Oryzias latipes: one gene and its partners. The protein of the gene in region 1 binds, or shares a complex with, the protein of each later gene. Links are inferred from orthologs where the notes say so. Each region holds a gene or a part of one and is shown in the gene's direction. Other genes may lie near its edges.

Evidence for each region. Proteins that work in one complex are often made in the same cells at the same time.
Region 2: non-structural maintenance of chromosomes element 3 homolog (region 1) and nsmce2 share a complex: the UniProt entries of both Homo sapiens proteins name them as parts of the SMC5-SMC6 complex. The link is inferred for Oryzias latipes from reciprocal best matches to the Homo sapiens genes NSMCE3 and NSMCE2.
Region 3: non-structural maintenance of chromosomes element 3 homolog (region 1) and smc5 share a complex: the UniProt entries of both Homo sapiens proteins name them as parts of the SMC5-SMC6 complex. The link is inferred for Oryzias latipes from reciprocal best matches to the Homo sapiens genes NSMCE3 and SMC5.
Region 4: the proteins of non-structural maintenance of chromosomes element 3 homolog (region 1) and nsmce1 are in contact, whole or in part, in a crystal structure (PDB 7DG2), measured with the Xenopus laevis proteins. The link is inferred for Oryzias latipes from reciprocal best matches to the Homo sapiens genes NSMCE3 and NSMCE1. Residues at the interface, in XP_018121157.1 of Xenopus laevis: Gly57, Glu58, Val60, Gln61, Tyr62, Leu64, Ile65, Lys66, Gln68, Lys69, Val82, Thr100, Gln102, Gln103, Val104, Phe105, Gly106, Phe107, Asn123, Leu125, Gln126, Arg127, Val128, Gly130, Asp131, Gly132, Met133, Arg134, Asp136, Glu137; in NP_001083134.1 of Xenopus laevis: Ile5, Glu7, Gln10, Arg11, Leu13, Gln14, Ala15, Met17, Ser18, His19, Leu30, His33, Leu37, His38, Leu54, His57, Leu58, Pro60, Leu61, Phe62, Met63, Val84, Asn86, Ile88, Thr89, Met91, Ala92, Ser93, Asp94, Gln149.

The regions. Positions count from the first base shown.
Region 1 is NC_019865.2:30,992,910-30,996,139, reverse strand, and holds part of non-structural maintenance of chromosomes element 3 homolog, read left to right. Parts: intron 1-2,295; coding exon 2,296-2,375; intron 2,376-2,464; coding exon 2,465-2,559; intron 2,560-2,639; coding exon 2,640-2,719; intron 2,720-2,838; coding exon 2,839-2,881; intron 2,882-2,980; coding exon 2,981-3,043; intron 3,044-3,230. UniProt on the Homo sapiens protein: Component of the SMC5-SMC6 complex, a complex involved in repair of DNA double-strand breaks by homologous recombination. The complex may promote sister chromatid homologous recombination by recruiting the SMC1-SMC3 cohesin complex to double-strand breaks.
Region 2 is NC_019874.2:13,948,064-13,952,909, forward strand, and holds the start of nsmce2 (E3 SUMO-protein ligase NSE2), read left to right. Parts: upstream 1-1,622; 5' UTR 1,623-1,918; coding exon 1,919-2,033; intron 2,034-2,237; coding exon 2,238-2,350; intron 2,351-2,528; coding exon 2,529-2,682; intron 2,683-4,846. Other genes in the region: washc5 (WASH complex subunit 5), read left to right, coding at 200-329, 420-516, 624-777, 854-941, 1,086-1,142. UniProt on the Homo sapiens protein: E3 SUMO-protein ligase component of the SMC5-SMC6 complex, a complex involved in DNA double-strand break repair by homologous recombination. Is not be required for the stability of the complex.
Region 3 is NC_019865.2:11,201,137-11,206,163, reverse strand, and holds the start of smc5 (structural maintenance of chromosomes protein 5), read left to right. Parts: upstream 1-1,803; 5' UTR 1,804-1,857; coding exon 1,858-2,006; intron 2,007-2,953; coding exon 2,954-3,095; intron 3,096-4,123; coding exon 4,124-4,176; intron 4,177-4,331; coding exon 4,332-4,494; intron 4,495-4,573; coding exon 4,574-4,708; intron 4,709-4,820; coding exon 4,821-4,961; intron 4,962-5,027. UniProt on the Homo sapiens protein: Core component of the SMC5-SMC6 complex, a complex involved in repair of DNA double-strand breaks by homologous recombination.
Region 4 is NC_019859.2:37,084,364-37,089,352, reverse strand, and holds the start of nsmce1 (non-structural maintenance of chromosomes element 1 homolog), read left to right. Parts: upstream 1-1,765; 5' UTR 1,766-1,876; intron 1,877-4,989. UniProt on the Homo sapiens protein: RING-type zinc finger-containing E3 ubiquitin ligase that assembles with melanoma antigen protein (MAGE) to catalyze the direct transfer of ubiquitin from E2 ubiquitin-conjugating enzyme to a specific substrate.

The DNA.
Region 1 (3,230 bases):
ACACAGCAGTGCTGTTGCTCTTCCAGCTCAGTCTGTTGTCGATGATTACTCCCAAGTACTTGTACTCCTCTACCTCTGCCACCTCTCTGCCAAAGATGCTGAGAGGCTGGGAAGCTGGAAGTTTCTTCCTGAAGTCCACCACCATCTCTCTGGTCTTTTCCACATTGAGCAGCAGGTGGTTTTCTCCAGCCCACCTCAGGAATTCATCCACAAGTCCCCTGTACTCCTCCTCCTGCCCACCATTAATGCAGCCGACAACCGCGGAGTCATCAGAGAATTTCTGAAGATGGCCTGACTCTGAGTTGTACTGGAAGTCACTGGCGTACAAAGTGAACAGGAAGGAAGAGAGCACAGGGCACTGTGGGAAAATGCAGATTTAATGCATGACAGGACAATAGGACGAATGGGAATGTGTGTTTTTATTTCTTCCAGGTCTTCATCAAAACTCTGACCGCCACATTTTGAACCACAGGAAGGCGTTTAGGACTGATTTATATCCAGGCCTAATTAAATTTAGTTTGCTTTGTGTTATTTAGCTTTTGTTCTCATTGTTTTGTGTAACATTATATTTGTAGGATCTAGTTTGCTTAAAAAGCTTTCGTATTTATCACAAAATGTGTGCGCTTTATAAATACTGATTGTAGAATGAATTGATGTAAGAGAATTGGAGATGTTTTAAGAAAAGTTCACAGTGCAATTATGAGTTTGTTAATTAAACTGGTGACTTAAAGTTGTTGTTAGTGAACAGGTAACATGGTTCCCTACAGTCAAGACAAGGAAGCGCATGCAGTCTTTTGAGAGGAGACTTGGTTAAAGTTCCACTGTTGTCAAAGCGTTCCCACTGGTCTTTTAATTAGGATGATGCTTTTTCAGGCAAAATCCAACAACCTGTGTCGCTTTCTAGGACACAGTTTCTGCAGAGCAGAGTTCATTACCTCTGAGTTGTGGGCGGGACTGTGAGATTCCTTCATGTCCCATCATCCCTATGTTTACACTCTCAACCCCTCACAACCCCAACCTAACATTAGCGGTGCAACAAAAATGGTGAGCAATGTTGTAGCTGTCCAGTCATACAGTTCATGAATGGATCTATTTGTATGTAAGTGGATGAATCAGAAAGGGGCAGGGAGCTTGTGGCCCCCTGATTGTAGTTTGTATGAGACAACCACAGTATTGTTTTTTTCTGCTTCACCACAATTCCATTAAAGAATTACGCAGAGACACATTTTTAGACTTAACTTTCTTTCTATATGTCCTCCATCAAGAGAGAACTGCTACAAGAACATGTTAAATACACCAAAAGCATCATTTTCATTGGAGTGGGTCTTTAACTTCCCATTGACTAAAGTAGGAGAAGGTCTCCAAACACTAGGTCTTCCTCAAATTCATCAGACTAGTAAAATCGTGTCAGCTGCAGGAAATGAACCCAGAACACGACAGAGGACAACATGGAGTCAACAGGAAGCTGAAGTTCAGTGTGTTGGTGGTTGTTAACATTGATTTCTCTCAGCGGCTGGAACGGTCCTTCAAAGATAGAAACGAGTGTAAAAGAAAACATGCTGAAAAGTAACAGACATGTCTTGGGATCCAGGCTGAAGGAGTCCCAGACGGTCGGGATCTGTGCCTTCAACTTCAATCACAAGAAATGAATTACATACAGTACATAGATGCTTACATTTCAAATGTGAACATTGTCTTTAAACCTGTTTGAAACATTCTGTAATGTTGAAGTTGAACACCCGTTAGGGTATCAAATGTTTGTTGAAGCTTAGAGCAGCAGACTGTTGTCACGCCTCTTCATGGAGGACCAACCTTTCATCTAAGTTCCACCTCCCTATTTGAAGGGGCGGAGCAGCAGCAAAGCATTTTGGTAAACTTTCCATGAGAGTTAAAGCTTCACTTCACGATGTAACTGGTGATGAAGACATGTACTATATTACCAAAAGTACTGGCTCCCCCGTCCAAATGATCAGAATCAGGTGTCCTAATCACTTGCCCTGAACACAGGTGTATCAAATCAGGCCCTCATGCATGCAGACTGTTTGTGCTAACGTTTGTGAAAGAACGGGCTGCTCCCAGGAGCTTCATGTTAGCCCAAGTCCAGCACGCAGAGAGCTTCATGGAAGGGGTTTCCATGGCCGAGCAGCTGCATCCAAGCCAACGTCACCGAGTGCAAAGCAAAGCGTCGGACGCAGTGGTGGAAAGCACGCCGCCACTGCATCTAGAGCAGTGGATAGGGAGTTTGAACATGCGACAGCTGCAGAGGTGACTCACTGCCTGCTAATGTCTTCTCAGACCTTGTGAAACACGTGGTGAAGGACTACAGAAACATCTATCCTGAGATCATAAAGCGAGCAGCTCGGACCTTTGAGCAGGTTTGTTCTACCTGACTGCATTCTTGTCTTCATTTATTGTCTCAGTAGATCACATTTGTGAGGTTCTTCTTTTTTTAACTCTTGCTCAGGTGTTTGGTTTGAAACTGGTTGAAATTGACCCCAAAAATCACACATATATATTGATCAATAACCTGGAAGCCGCTGACAAACCTTCACCAGTCGAGTGAGTATCGTGTCATTTTGAGAAACGCTCATTTGAATGGTCCATAAATGAGGTTTATTGTTGTTTTTCTGTGTGTGTAGATGCCCTGCAAATCCCAAACTTGGTCTACTTTTCGTGATTCTGGGTGTTACTTTCATGAAGGGAGGTGTCGTCAGAGAAAGTGAGTTTAACAGGTTTTAACTATAGTTTTGTTCCTTATTCAGTCAATTCCATTAACTGTTTTAGTTCTGTTTGTTTTGCTCAGTAAAGACATTAAAGTTTACTCCTCTTGGTTCTTAGATGTCATCTGGAACACACTAAAGAAACTGCGAGTTGACTCTGGGTGAGACCATGTTTTTGTGCCTTTAGCGATGGTTTAAAAACCTTCCATAGGTTTCACTGCCTTCCTCCTTTTCTGCATGTCTGCTGATGAAAACCTCAGAGAGAAGCACGAAGAGTTTGGAGACGTGAAGAGACTCGTCACAGAGGAGTTTGTGCGTCAAAGGTAAGAACCAGCGTAGCAGTAGAACATTCTTTTACGATCAATCAAATAAAACAAGAAATATGAATTAGGCTCTGCATTATTACTGACTCACACAGGTACGATGGCTTTTTCTAGCAGCTTAGCAAACCTGTGCTAGCTGAAGGCAGGCCTGAACCAAAGAAAGATTTTCGTTATCGCGGTATCAGCC
Region 2 (4,846 bases), on another chromosome or scaffold:
AAATTCAGGCTCTTTTTATGCAGTTTTGTATGGAAAATATGTACCTAGAGATGTAGTTCACGAGGTGTTTCTCACTTTTTTTTTTTTTTAGAATACATTCATTTCTAACAACTGATAACATTTGTTACTATAGCATATTGTGTTTTTGTGAGCTTAAGGCTACATTTTGCCACCTGTTGTGATCTCTTCTTCTTGTTAGGTCTCTTCTGGCAGACATAGAAGCACACTACCAGGATCCATCTCTCCCTTATCCTAAAGAAGAAAACACTCTATTGTATGAGATCACTGCCTACCTAGAAGCTGCTGGAATTCATAACCCGCTCAGCAAGGTTTGCAAGGTTTTATTTTATTTTAATTAGCCTGTTAAAAATGCCACATTTCACCAGTAAACAATGTTTATTTCTTTTTGGTTCAAACAGATTTACATCACCACAAAGCGTCTTCCTTACTTCCCCATCATCAACCTCCTGTTTATCATTGCTCAGCTGCCTAAACTTCAGTACAACAAAAATCAAGGTGCGTTTCACTTCTCGCTATCTTAGCTTGATGGATTGGAATCTGTGAATTTCTGTGGTGACTTTTTCTGTGTACACGCCAAGTTAAGGATTTTCTCTGTGTAAAAGGAATGACCTGCAAGAAAGCAACCGATCCTGTCGACTGGCCCCCACTAGTGCTGGGTCTGCTCACCCTGCTCAAGCAGTTCCACTCCAGATACACACAGCACTTCCTTGCTCTGCTTGGACAGTTCATCCGCTCTGTTATGGAGCAGTGCACAAGGTAACTAAAAGTTTAACATTTTGATCAAACCCATTGTTTGCAGTTTTCTTAAATTTGTCTTTTACTGGTGTCACAGCCAGAAAATCCCTGAAATGCCCTCTGATGTTGTGGGGGCCCTGATGTTCCTTGAAGACTATGTAAAATACACAAAACTGTCACGCAAGGTAAGAAAACAGTTACTTTAGAGGTGGTTTATTTTAAAGGTATCTGGAAGAAAAAGAATTGCTATGTCATGCTAAGACAGCTTGTTTTTACAAACTTGAAGGATTGTTAACATGCATTTCTTTTTATTATCTATCTGTTTTAAGGTGGTTGAAGCTCATGTACCCAGTTTCATTTTTGACGAATTCAGAACTATTTTGTGAGCCCCCGGACAAGGACATCAAACTGAAGATGCAGTCTTTGTTTGTACTGTACTTTTCTTTGTTTATATTAGTCTTGATCTAGTGGCAAAGATTTTTGTGGTAGAAGCAACAATCATTTTGCTCTAATTAATTGTTCAGAAATTAGGATGTGCTTTTTTTCCCCCCATATACATTTCATGCCCAGCCTTATAATCTGTTTCTGCAATGTTATAACAAAATGTGTTTTGTTAAAAATACATTTTTATTTCAACCAGAAAAGGCCACAATGTCAAATGTAAAAAAGCTTCAAGAAGTAGTTCATATTTCATTTTCTAGAACAATAAAGTTTTGTATTAATAAACTGTACATTTAATGCTCAATCAAAAACATTTCCATACTAATATTTTGTGGTATTGTTTATCAATAAATACAGTATAATTCTTTACTGCTCGTTGTTTTCTTTATGAATTTATTTGATGGCTTTTAGTTTGAAGAAACAAACGGAAGTGAAACTGTAACTTCCGTTCATCTCAAATGTTTACTACTTTTCTTCCTTTTCCTTCTTATTTTTTTGTTATCGTTTGATCTTTGGTTGTACTTTGAATTAAGAATAGTTACTTATCTTTTTTGTTTTTTTTTCTATTTTGAGATACATTGGCATATCTCATCTTTTCGCAAGACGGCGCGAGTATAAGGCTAGCAGTTAGCTAGCTAGCCGTTAACATAAGGAAGATATCAATAACGGTGAACACACAGTGATTTTTCTTTGGACTTTAGGGATAAAAGTTACGAACACAATGTCTCTGAGTGCTGTCAACGGCGCATTGTCCAATTTAAAATCGTGTTTGGCAGACATTGCGACGGGGATGGACATCGTGACGGACGTTGCCATAGATGTGGTGGAATCTCAGGGTAAACATTCGGAGCCTGCATCATTTTCTGCAAACGTGATCAGAAATGGGTTTTATTCTTCTAGGATCAGTTAGTATAGTGAAGCAGTCCAAGAACATGGTGTTTTATCGCAATTATGCTAAACATGTGACCAAGCTCCATTCAGCGTGCACTTATATTTTGTAATAATTGAGTTTATATTTGTGTATATTTTTTACATTTCAGATGAAGAGATGAACTCTTCCATCAAAGAGCTGGAGACCATGATCCTGGACTGTGCCAAGCTGGACAGGGAGATTAACATCTTTGTAGACATCGCAAAAGAAGTTACATCCGAGGTAACTATTATGATGAGGATCAGGTTTAAAAACAATAATTCATTTAGGTCATTTACTGCAGCGTTATCTGTCCCTATTTTTGCTTGTTTGTGCTTTGATTAGATCCGTGTTTGTAAAGCGCAGACTCATTTTTATAAGTCTAAAAAGAAATGATCTAATATGCCTCACTTTGGTGCAGGTGAATGCACAGCAACCAGAGGCCTTGTTCGGCCTTTCTGACAAAGTGAAGGAGCAGTTCTCAGAGAGAATAGCCCGACTTTCTGATGATGAAATCCACAGCCATCAGAAAGTGGCTGCCTTTAAGGACAGCATCGGGAACGCTTCAAAACAAAGTAAGGCTGTTGAATTTTTTTTTATATCTCTATAAAATAATTTCACTGATTTCTGAGGCATTGTTTGAAAGCGCATCTTACTTTTTTTATTTATTTTTTTATTTTTTAGTAATGTGGTATGTTGAATTTGAGAAGATTGTTGGTTTAATATTGTATTGTAATTAGGTAAGTGGCCACCAGAGGGCAAGCCTACAAGTTTCATTGAGTTGTAGCGCCGTGTGGTGACAGACGAAGAAGTCAGGAACCATGGTGGACAGCATCCACTGTTCAGAAAGGTTCTGTTATGCAAATGAAAAACTGTTGCACCCAGTTCAATGTGTGGGACCTTCATTTTTATATGAAGATGCAACATCTTTTTGGTGAAGAGGATTTTTAAGGAGGAGAAAAGCCCATAGACCTTAGAAAAAGAGAGAGAAAGAAAAGAAGAAAGAAGCAGCAGAAAGATACGTGGTTAACCTCCCACAGAAGTGAAGCATGGCAACAATTGGCACGCCAGCAGCGTTTGATCCAAAGACTCAAACTTGGGTTAAGTATACAGAAATACTTGAACAGTTTTTTGCGGCCAATGAAATAGACAATCAAGACAGACAAAAGGCAATGTTGATAAGTGTAGTTGGAGCACCGACCTACAGTTTATGCGAACCTCCTCAGCCCAGACAAGCCAAAAGACAAGTCCTTCAATGAGCTTGTATTACTGATGAAGAACCATTATGACCTAAAACCATTTATTCGGTGAAATCAGCTACTTCACAAATCACCATTGAAAAATTGCGACAGAGTTTCAGTGTGTTTGGTCCTCCAAAGATGTTGGTATCAGACAATGGGACATGCTTCACAAGTGCAGAATTCGAGACATTTATGAAACAAAGTGCAATAGACCATGTAAAATCCACACCTTTCCACCCATCATTTTTATATTAAGATGCAACAAGTATAAACTGCATAATTTTCCAATTTATTGACTCAAAACATTTTTCAAAATCTGTGTTTATCTTACTAGCTGCGTTTATATGGACAAAAGTAATTGGAAAGAACACCTGATCGGAAGAAAAATGTGTCATGTAAACACGCCGTTCGGAATACTCTGCCCCGATCAGACTTGTTCTGATCAAAATTTCTTTCCAATCGAGATAGGTGGGTTATGCCGATTGTTGATCGGATCGAGTGAACCGTGTCTCTGAGCAGAGAAGCCAGACTTATAGCTTTGTGTTTGAGGGGAGGAGAGGGTGCTTTGTAACGTGTGTGCTATGAGTGGGAGGCTTTGGACTGCAGCTCTAGGTGAACGAGCTGCTAAACTCAGGAGAGCCGGGTCTCCCAGTAGAACTGTGTCTTCGAGCAGAGCACACAGCGGCTTTGGGGCGGTGTGTGCTTAAAGCAGAAATGTCGCTCAGTCCTTAGAAACCGTTCAAACAATCACGTGGATTTGTGTTTCCATTCGTGTCCCGACAAAATAAAGGCTGATGTTATTCCCACATATTTACATGTAGCCAAGATGCAGATTGCGGCGTTTCCCCCATGGATTTTATGTTCATCCAAGGCTAAATGTTGTTAGCGCATGTTAGCCTTCTACTCCTAACGCTAACGTCTTCCGGGTCCGTTCTCCCAGAAAAAAAAGAGCTGACCACAAAGATTAAAAATAAATAATGAGCAAGCAGGCGCTTCATAATAATCATAACAATAATAAAAGCACGTTTAGAAGATCATCTGGCGCATGTAAACATTTATTATAATCGGAAAAAGTTTTTCTGGGCCCATGTACACGGTTGAATTCGAATCCGATCAAAACATTTTGTACATGTAACCGCGGCTAATGTTTGTGTCTATTTTTCTGAAGACATCAATAAAGGTTGCATATTGAAATAAATGTTTAAAAATAGCAATAATTTGCATTCATTTGCATAATCCTTGAAGATAATTTCAGCCGGCAGCATTTACAGGCCACAATGAAGCCGAATTTGTTGTGAAAATGATCTATAAAATGAAAAAAAAAAAAAAGATTTATGTGTAGGTGGATGTCTTGAATGTCTCTGTTGCACACTTTTAAATGTAAGATTTTGTGGATGGAGGGTTTATTTATTTGGAAAGCAAAATATGTTGCTCTTTAGCTACATTCTGGCATTTACCTGCGTATTTTCCTGCCGACTTTTTAAGGGTTTTGTGCAAC
Region 3 (5,027 bases), about 20 Mb from region 1:
CTTTTGTTTGTTAACTGCTGATGTAAGAAATAAATTATAAAATAGAAAAAACTACACTCCTACTCAAAACTATCTAATGTTTGGACTTTTTCATTTTAAACAAATTTAAAGTGAAAAAACAGAAAACATAACAGCCACAACACAAAATATAAATTTAAATGTGCAAAACAAGAAAAACAAGATTTTAATCATTCATAGTGAAAGTTGGCATTTAAAATGCCTAAGTGTCTCAGTTTCAGTCAGTGATGATGTGCTCTGGTTTTAAGATTCTCTCAGTTCTCAGGTGCGGGTTGCATTTAGAGCCGGTTATAGATGGAATTCTTTTCTTGCTCTTGATTCTCCATGTTTTGCTTGCTTTCCTGTTGTCAGACTCATTACTACTCTCTCAACGGCAAAGCCACAAACACAGAATGAGTTATGTCTCTCTTTAAGAACGGGCATGTTCATAGGCTGCTCTGAATTCAAAACTGCTGCGAATGGTGGAGAAGTGATGAAATGGAGATTTATTTGGAAAGTCACCTGATCAAATGCAACTATTATTTATTATAGTATTTATTAAGTATAATAAATACCTCTCTAGAAACAAGTTATGTGCCACAGTCTTTTAAATATGTAGTTGTGAAACCTATTCTAAAAAAGCTCAATTTAGATCCCGGCAATCTGGCCTGCAATAGTCCAATATCAAATCTCCCCTTTATAATAAAGTAAAGAAGAAAAAAAATCTCCCCTTTGTTTCAAAAATCATAGAATGAGTGGTAGTTAAGCAGCTTTACCGCCACCTACAGGACAATAGTCAATTTGAAGATTTTCAGTCAGGGTTCAAACTACACCACAACACTGAAATTGCACTATATAGAGTCTCTAATGACTTATTATTGGCCTCAGAAAAGGAACTACTGTCTATTCTGGTCCTGTTAGACCTCAGTGCAGGCTTTGACACTATCAACCACAGTATTTTACTCCAAAGATTAGAGTATGACATAGAGATCAGAGGATTTGCCCTCCAGTGGTTTGAATCCTATTTATTCGATAGGGACCAGTTTGTTAATGTAAATGGACAGTCCTCTCATGGAACTCGAGTTAGCTACGGAGTCCCACAGGGCTCAGTTCTAGGACCCTTCCCCTTTATGCTTTATACGCTGCCCACTATTGATTGTCACTGTTATGCGGATCATACACAGTTGTATTTATTTGGAGGTAGAGCCTTTAGCCATCAAGCCCCTGTTCTATGGGATAAGCTCCCAGTTCATGTAAGAGAGGCCAACACAGTTTCTACATTCCAAGTTAGGCTTAAAACATTCCTCTTTATTTCCAGGCAAGTAATAGAGAATATTTATCTTATTATTAACATGTTTGAATTAAACTTAAAAACAACAACAATTAGTTGCTGGTGGGCTGCTCCAGATCCTGCACCACACACACTTCAAGACATAATCTGATCCCATTGCAACAACAAAAATAGTTGTCTTTTACAAATATCTTTTTAAAATTGTGTTTATTTATTAATTTAACAGGGTTAAATAAAAAATAAAAAAACAGTGCCCTTTTTTGGGGCTTGGAGGAGGTTGCACTAGTATAAAATTAATAACTGTGAGAGAGTTTGTTTAATGTAAACAGTTTAAATATGTACAGGTGTTTCTATTTAGTACAGAATGTTTCAAATACTGGTTACTTTATTTCTCAGTATAAAAGAGTAAAACATTTTTTTGGGGGGGGGTGGGGCACTGTTTAGAATCTTACGTCATCAAATGTGGACACACGTGACCTATCTTCACCAATCATCTTTCAGCTTTGCCTCGGGAAAGCGCGGCAGGGCAAACTGTTCTTCCCATCACTAGTATATCAGTGTCTGTTGACATGGCTGAGCCTAGTAAGAAGCAGCGGCTCAGCCACCATAACAACAGTTCACAGACTCCTTCCAAGGCCTTCTATAAGACCAGGGATGTCGATGAAGCTCATCCGTTTGTGGAGGGCTCCATTCTGCGCATCACCATGAAAAACTTCCTGTAAGTTCCACCTCCTTTTCACTAGTCACACTAGTTAAGCTAGCTATGCTAACGCCAAACTACCGTAAAAGCTTAGCCTCTACATTTGCTCTGACAAGCTGACATATGATATGTTTTACTGAAGCGTGTTTTGGTTTACCGATGTTGTAGAAGAGGAATAAAGTCAGTAAGCTGGGCTGTTTTTGCTCCGTTAACGTAGAACTCATCAGTTGTGTATGTTATGTATTTTAATTCTAAACGACTTCAACTTTAGAAAAATGAAAACTCTTTTGTCAGGTTCGGATATGATGTAGTCTACCAGTAATTGTTATTCTTACGTCTTTAAACTCAAATGTATTTTTTCGTCTTTTTTTAATTTACAAAATTTGGAAAATATTAAAAGCAAAGAGCCAATGTCACATTTGTGTCTGAGAGTTTGACAACCCAAAACTGAAAGTGCCAATTTAATGTCATCTGAATTATTTTCAGTGATGTTAACTGAAATCTTCCAACATCCTTAAATTGTCATAATATTCAATAAAGGGAAAAAAACATCACATGATTTGCAACAAGAATGACAGAATCTACAGAATAGATGAAAAGTGCATTAATATAGTGTAAAACACAGTTCTCTACACTTCATTGCATTTCTGCATCATCTTTGAACAGTATTAGAAAATGTGAGATTCAGTCTTCAGTAACATTCAGTGTACTAGTGTCAAGCATGAGTTTTACAGTTCCACAAACCACATAAACAGGTTTCTACGAGTACCTTTATGTATGTTTATTGTGTTAAAATCGCGTTGTGTGTCACTGTGCTTTAATCTTCTTCTCGTATCATTAATTTAATTGAATTGTTGAAAAACAGATAAAACCCGTAATGTTGATGTTTTTTGTTTGAAGAATTAAAGTGTGACTTTCCTGCATGTGGCTGGAAAATGACCGGTGTCTTCGCTGTACTTTGGCAGGACCTATGACTACTCTGTGGTGTGTCCTGGACCAAATCTGAACATGATTGTTGGTGCAAATGGAACTGGCAAGTCCAGCATTGTTTGTGCCATCTGTCTGGGCCTGGCTGGAAAGACCGCTGTTCTGGGGAGAGGAGATAAGGTAAATGTACTGTTGGGATTTATTTAGTTGAAGTGTGTTGATGAGATTCTCTATAAAAGATCAGAGTAACTGGTAGATTTTGACAGAAGCCTTAACCTTGAACAGTTCAGCAATGTTGCATCCCATGACTCACTTAAACTTTGGCCAAATATTTACTTGTTGTGAGGAAACTGATCATTCTAAACAGGACTGTAGATAAAAATAAGGTTAAGGTCGTACCCTTCAGTTTGCTGCACACAGAAACGAATGAATAATGACTCAGAGACAAAACTTATCTTTTGTGGAAGTTTTACTTCGTACAAACACGAAGGGGACAGACAGATGAATATAGTGCATTCAAAGTCTGAACACCGAAGCTCAGAGAGATGGTCTTGGTATAAGAACCCTGCATTTGCATATTCAGAAGATCATACACTGGACAGTGGTGTGAAAATCACGGCCACAGGTTGTTGCAGGCGAGATGCTCGAAGGTCAAGAAGCTTCAAGTGTCACAAACAGCACAAACACCAGCACACACAAAAAGGAAAAAGGGAGGATGAGGAATGCTATGAGAAAACAGTCTTGGTTGTGCTTTCTTCAAATGTAATATAATTTTGAGATGATAATACATGCTTAGTGACTTAAGTTTAAACCATTAGTGTAATAAAAGTTAAAGGCAGTTTCTAACTATTCTTCACACTTGTCCTTATCAATTAAATATGCTTCCAACTTATGTTTGTTATAGATTTTAAGTTCACTCAAATACAACAGGGACATTACAGAAATAAAACGAAATGGCACATAGACGTTTTTTACCCCTTATTTTGAGTTCAATGATACAAACAAAGCAAAAACATGTACCGGTAGGACAAACCTAAACCTATAAATCACTTAACAAACAAGGGGGTGTTGCAATGTTCAATACACAGAAAAGGACAAAAAGGGAAAAAAGGAGAGAAAAAAGCACAGAAATGTATACATTTTTGGAAAAAAGTTAGAATTGCTGCAAGGACTTTAAACAGGTTTGACTTCCTTTACCTTTTTTTCAGGTTGGGCTTTATGTGAAGCGTGGCTGCCATAAAGGGTCCATTGAGATTGAATTGTAAGTTATGTGAAATAATTTCCACAAAGTCACTCATTCTTTTAAAAACAGACATTTCAGCCACAGTTGTTTTATAGAAAAAGCTTACAGCTCCTTAACATTGGTGCCCTTAAACATACTTATTTTTTGTAACTGTCTCTGTTCTGTTGTTGAAGGTACAAAACAGGAGGTAACATAGTCATTAACAGGGAGATCCATGTGGAAAATAATCAGTCCCTTTGGATGCTGAATGGGAAACACTGCAACCAGAAAACGGTAGAAGAGGAGGTCAAGGCTCTGCAAATTCAAGTCGGCAACCTCTGCCAGTTTCTTCCTCAGGTATGTGTTTGTGAAAGTGCCAAGGGTTTAATAGACAGAAAACTGCTCAAGTTCCTTCATGTTGTGTTTTTCCCAACAGGAAAAAGTTGGTGAGTTTGCCAAAATGTCTAAGATCGAGTTGTTGGAGGCAACTGAGAAGTCTGTGGGACCCCCAGAGATGTACGAGTACCACTGTGAGCTCAAAAACTTCCGCAACAAGGAAAGAGAATTGGAGGTAATAGTTAAAGCTTTATGGTTTATTTTTTGTACTTTTGTTTTCTGGGTTTTGAGCAAAACTGTTTTCTGAGGGTTTCGTCGGTTTTTGAGATTCTAATATTTCATTGTAGAATGTTGTAAAGGAGAAGGCAAACTTCTTGGAGAAGGCCAAACAACGAAATGAGAGGTACAAGCATGATGTCAACCGTTATTATGAAAAGAAGAGACATCTGGATGTCATTGAGCTTCTGGAGAAGAAGAAACCATGGGTTGTAAGTGTGTCACTTTGGTTTAACAAGAAGGAGACAAACAAACAAACAAACAAACGGGGCATCTTT
Region 4 (4,989 bases), on another chromosome or scaffold:
ACCACTGAGGACTGGATGAAGGTGACGGACCATTAAAGACTGGATGAAGGTGACGGACCATTAAAGACTGGATGAAGGTGACGGACCACTGAAGACTGGATGAAGGTGACGGACCACTGAAGACTGGATGACGGTGACGGACCACTGAGGACTGGATGAAGGTGACGGACCACTGAAGACTGGATGAAGGTGACGGACCACTGAAGACTGGATGACGGTGACGGACCACTGAGGACTGGATGAAGGTGACGGACCACTGAAGACTGGATGAAGGTGACGGACCACTGAAGACTGGATGAAGGTGACGGACCACTGAAGACTGGATGAAGGTGACGGACCACTGAAGACTGGATGAAGGTGACGGACCACTGAGGACTGGATGAAGGTGACGGACCACTGAGGACTGGATGAAGGTGACGGATCACTGAAGACTGGATGAAGGTGACGGACCACTGAAGACTAGATGAAGGTGACGGACCACTGAAGACTGGATGAAGGTGACGGACCACTGAAGACTGGATGAAGGTGACGGACCACTGAGGACTGGATGAAGGTGACGGACCACTGAGGACTGGATGAAGGTGACGGATCACTGAAGACTGGATGAAGGTGACGGACCACTGAAGACTGGATGAAGGTGACGGACCACTGAAGACTGGATGAAGGTGACGGACCACTGAGGACTGGATGAAGGTGACGGACCACTGAAGACTGGATGAAGGTGACGGACCACTGAAGACTGGATGAAGGTGACGGACCACTGAGGACTGGATGAAGGTGACGGACCACTGAGGACTGGATGAAGGTGACGGACCACTGAAGACTGGATGAAGGTGACGGACCACTGAGGACTGGATGAAGGTGACGGACCACTGAAGACTGGATGAAGGTGAGGGACCACTGAAGACTGGATGAAGGTGACGGACCACTGAAGACTGGATGAAGGTGACGGACCACTGAAGACTGGATGAAGGTGACGGACCACTGAAGACTGGATGAAGGTGACGGACCACTGAGGACTGGATGAAGGTGACGGACCACTGAGGACTGGATGAAGGTGACGGACCACTGAGGACTGGATGAAGGTGACGGACCACTGAGGACTGGATGAAGGTGACGGACCACTGAGGACTGGATGAAGGTGACGGACCACTGAAGACTGGATGAAGGTGACGGACCACTGAAGACTGGTTAATGCCACATTCACTCTACAATAGAAAATGAGTGCATGCAGGCAGGACTAGAGCATTTACTTGGACTATTAATATGTATAGCAGGAAATTAGGTTACTGGTATAAGTTATGTAAATAAACAGGTTTTTTTTCATAATAAAATGTTGAGATATAAAGAGAAAATAGTTTTATTTACAATACTATTTTAGACTACTCAAACTTAGTCTTAATAATTCTTCAGTTAATGTATTTTCTGTGTTTTAAATTGTTTATTTTGTACAGTATTTTAAAAAATAATATTTCTATAACTATAGCTAGTATTGTAACAACCCAGATGGTAAGTCACTATAGCCAAGCTGCTTATTAAGTGGCTACATGAGAGAGCTGACCATGTCCCACACACCACACAACCCTGGATAGTTTCAGAGGGGAAGAAAGAGGCTAAGAAGATAAACCCCTAACCCCCAGGTCGCTACAGTATTTATATAAATTATGTATTAATTTTTCTAATAAATTGTTTGTTCATTTAGTGATTATGGTGTTTCTCGTTTTTTCTTGAGCTGTCGGTGAATTTGTGTGTGAAAACAATGTGATCTGCTGTTCTCTTCCCTGACGGCAGGTGGCAGTAATCAATAGCAATAACTCTCTGAAAGGCGGGAAGAAGAAGAACCGACACGGAAGTGCCTCGTGCTGGAGCGGGAAAGGTAAACATCTGTAAACTCTTGTGGATGTATGTTTTTCTGTGTAAATATTGTCAAATGAAGCGAATAGAAAGCAGAAAAGTCGCTCTGCACATTATTTAACAGAGATTAATTACATTTGATTTCAAACCACAAACCCAATAAGTTAGTTAACGGGTTTCCAAACTGCTAAACACATCCCAGTTTTTTTTTATCTTTGACATTTTGCGAGTTTATGCTGTTTGTGAAACCATATTTTACATTTGTATTTAAATAATGGTGATAACATTCAACTCTCGTGCCTTTTTTGTCATGCAAGCGTCTAGCAGTAGCTTTAAAACACTTTCAGAACATTGACATAGAGAACAAAGAGTAAATCCGTTTAACAACGACTTAGGTTACAAAAGTAAAAAACAACAAAAATTAACTTTAGGTTATTCTTTTAAGCTGAGACAAAGGTTTTTTGTTGCAACTGGGACAAATATTGTTTAATGTCTGGTATATATGAGTAATTAATTCAAACATTTTTTATTAAACTTCAGGCTGGTATTTCCTTCAACACATCCAGCTAATAATCACATTGAGCATAGACAGACACGTGTAGATACAATATTTTATTTCAGATGTATGCTATAAGGAAAAATAGATAGGAAAAGAAAGATGAATGTTTGAAGAGGATTGAGAACAAGTAAAACACTTATAAGTGTCACCCCCCCTAAATACTGCACCCACTACCTATGATAGCCCAGGGGGGTATTCCAGAAAGCAGGTTATGCTAGCTCACACAGTAATGTTGTCTCATATTGTCTCATGTTGTCTCATATTGTCTCATGTTGTCTCATATTGTCTCATATTGTCTCATGTTGTCTCATGTTGTCTCGAGTTGTCTCGTGTTGTCTCATATTGTCTCATATTGTCTCATGTTGTCTCATATTGTCTCATGTTGTCTCATGTTGTCTCATATTGTCTCATATTGTCTCGTGTTGTCTCATGTTGTCTGATGTTGTCTCATGTTGTCTCGTGTTGTCTCATGTTGTCTGATGTTGTCTCATGTTGTCTCATGTTGTCTGATGTTGTCTCATGTTGTCTCGTGTTGTCTCGTGTTGTCTCATATTGTCTCGTGTTGTCTCATATTGTCTCATGTTGTCTCATATTGTCTCATATTGTCTCGTGTTGTCTCGTGTTGTCTCATATTGTCTCGTGTTGTCTCATATTGTCTCATGTTGTCTCATATTGTCTCATATTGTCTCGTGTTGTCTCGTGTTGTCTCGTGTTGTCTCATATTGTCTCATATTGTCTCATGTTGTCTCATATTGTCTCATATTGTCTCGTGTTGTCTCATGTTGTCTGATGTTGTCTCATGTTGTCTCATGTTGTCTGATGTTGTCTCATGTTGTCTCGTGTTGTCTCGTGTTGTCTCATATTGTCTCGTGTTGTCTCATATTGTCTCATATTGTCTCATGTTGTCTCATATTGTCTCATATTGTCTCGTGTTGTCTCGTGTTGTCTCATGTTGTCTCGTGTTGTCTCATGTTGTCTCATATTGTCTCATGTTGTCTGATGTTGTCTCATGTTGTCTCATGTTGTCTGATGTTGTCTGATGTTGTCTCGTGTTGTCTCGTGTTGTCTCATATTGTCTCGTGTTGTCTCATATTGTCTCATATTGTCTCATGTTGTCTCATATTGTCTCATATTGTCTCGTGTTGTCTCATGTTGTCTGATGTTGTCTCATGTTGTCTCGTGTTGTCTCGTGTTGTCTCATATTGTCTCGTGTTGTCTCATATTGTCTCATGTTGTCTCATATTGTCTCATATTGTCTCGTGTTGTCTCGTGTTGTCTCATGTTGTCTCGTGTTGTCTCATGTTGTCTGATGTTGTCTCATGTTGTCTCGTGTTGTCTCATGTTGTCTCATATTGTCTCATATTGTCTCATGTTGTCTGATGTTGTCTGATGTTGTCTGATGTTGTCTCATGTTGTCTCGTGTTGTCTCGTGTTGTCTCATATTGTCTCATGTTGTCTCGTGTTGTCTCGAGTTGTCTCATGTTGTCTCATGTTGTCTCATGTTGTCTCATGTTGTCTCGAGTTGTCTCGTGTTGTCTCGTGTTGTCTCGTGTTGTCTCATATTGTCTCGTGTTGTCTCATATTGTCTCATGTTGTCTCATGTTGTCTCATGTTGTCTCGTGTTGTCTCGTATTGTCTCGTGTTGTCTCATATTGTCTCGTGTTGTCTCATGTTGTCTCATGTTGTCTCGTGTTGTCTCATATTGTCTCGAGTTGTCTCATATTGTCTCATATTGTCTCGTGTTGTCTCGTGTTGTCTCATATTGTCTCGTGTTGTCTCATATTGTCTCATGTTGTCTCATATTGTCTCATATTGTCTCGTGTTGTCTCGTGTTGTCTCGTGTTGTCTCGTGTTGTCTCATATTGTCTCATATTGTCTCATGTTGTCTCATATTGTCTCATATTGTCTCGTGTTGTCTCATGTTGTCTGATGTTGTCTCATGTTGTCTCATGTTGTCTGATGTTGTCTCATGTTGTCTCGTGTTGTCTCGTGTTGTCTCATATTGTCTCGTGTTGTCTCATATTGTCTCATGTTGTCTCATATTGTCTCATATTGTCTCGTGTTGTCTCGTGTTGTCTCATGTTGTCTCGTGTTGTCTCATGTTGTCTCATATTGTCTCATGTTGTCTCATGTTGTCTGATGTTGTCTGATGTTGTCTCGTGTTGTCTCGTGTTGTCTGATGTTGTCTCGTGTTGTCTCGTGTTGTCTCATATTGTCTCGTGTTGTCTCATATTGTCTCATATTGTCTCATGTTGTCTCATATTGTCTCATATTGTCTCGTGTTGTCTCATGTTGTCTCATGTTGTCTCATGTTGTCTGATGTTGTCTCATGTTGTCTCGTGTTGTCTCGTGTTGTCTCATATTGTCTCGTGTTGTCTCATATTGTCTCATGTTGTCTCATATTGTCTCATATTGTCTCGTGTTGTCTCGTGTTGTCTCATGTTGTCTCGTGTTGTCTCATGTTGTCTGATGTTGTCTCATGTTGTCTCGTGTTGTCTCGTGTTGTCTCATATTGTCTCATATTGTCTCATGTTGTCTGATGTTGTCTGATGTTGTCTGATGTTGTCTCATGTTGT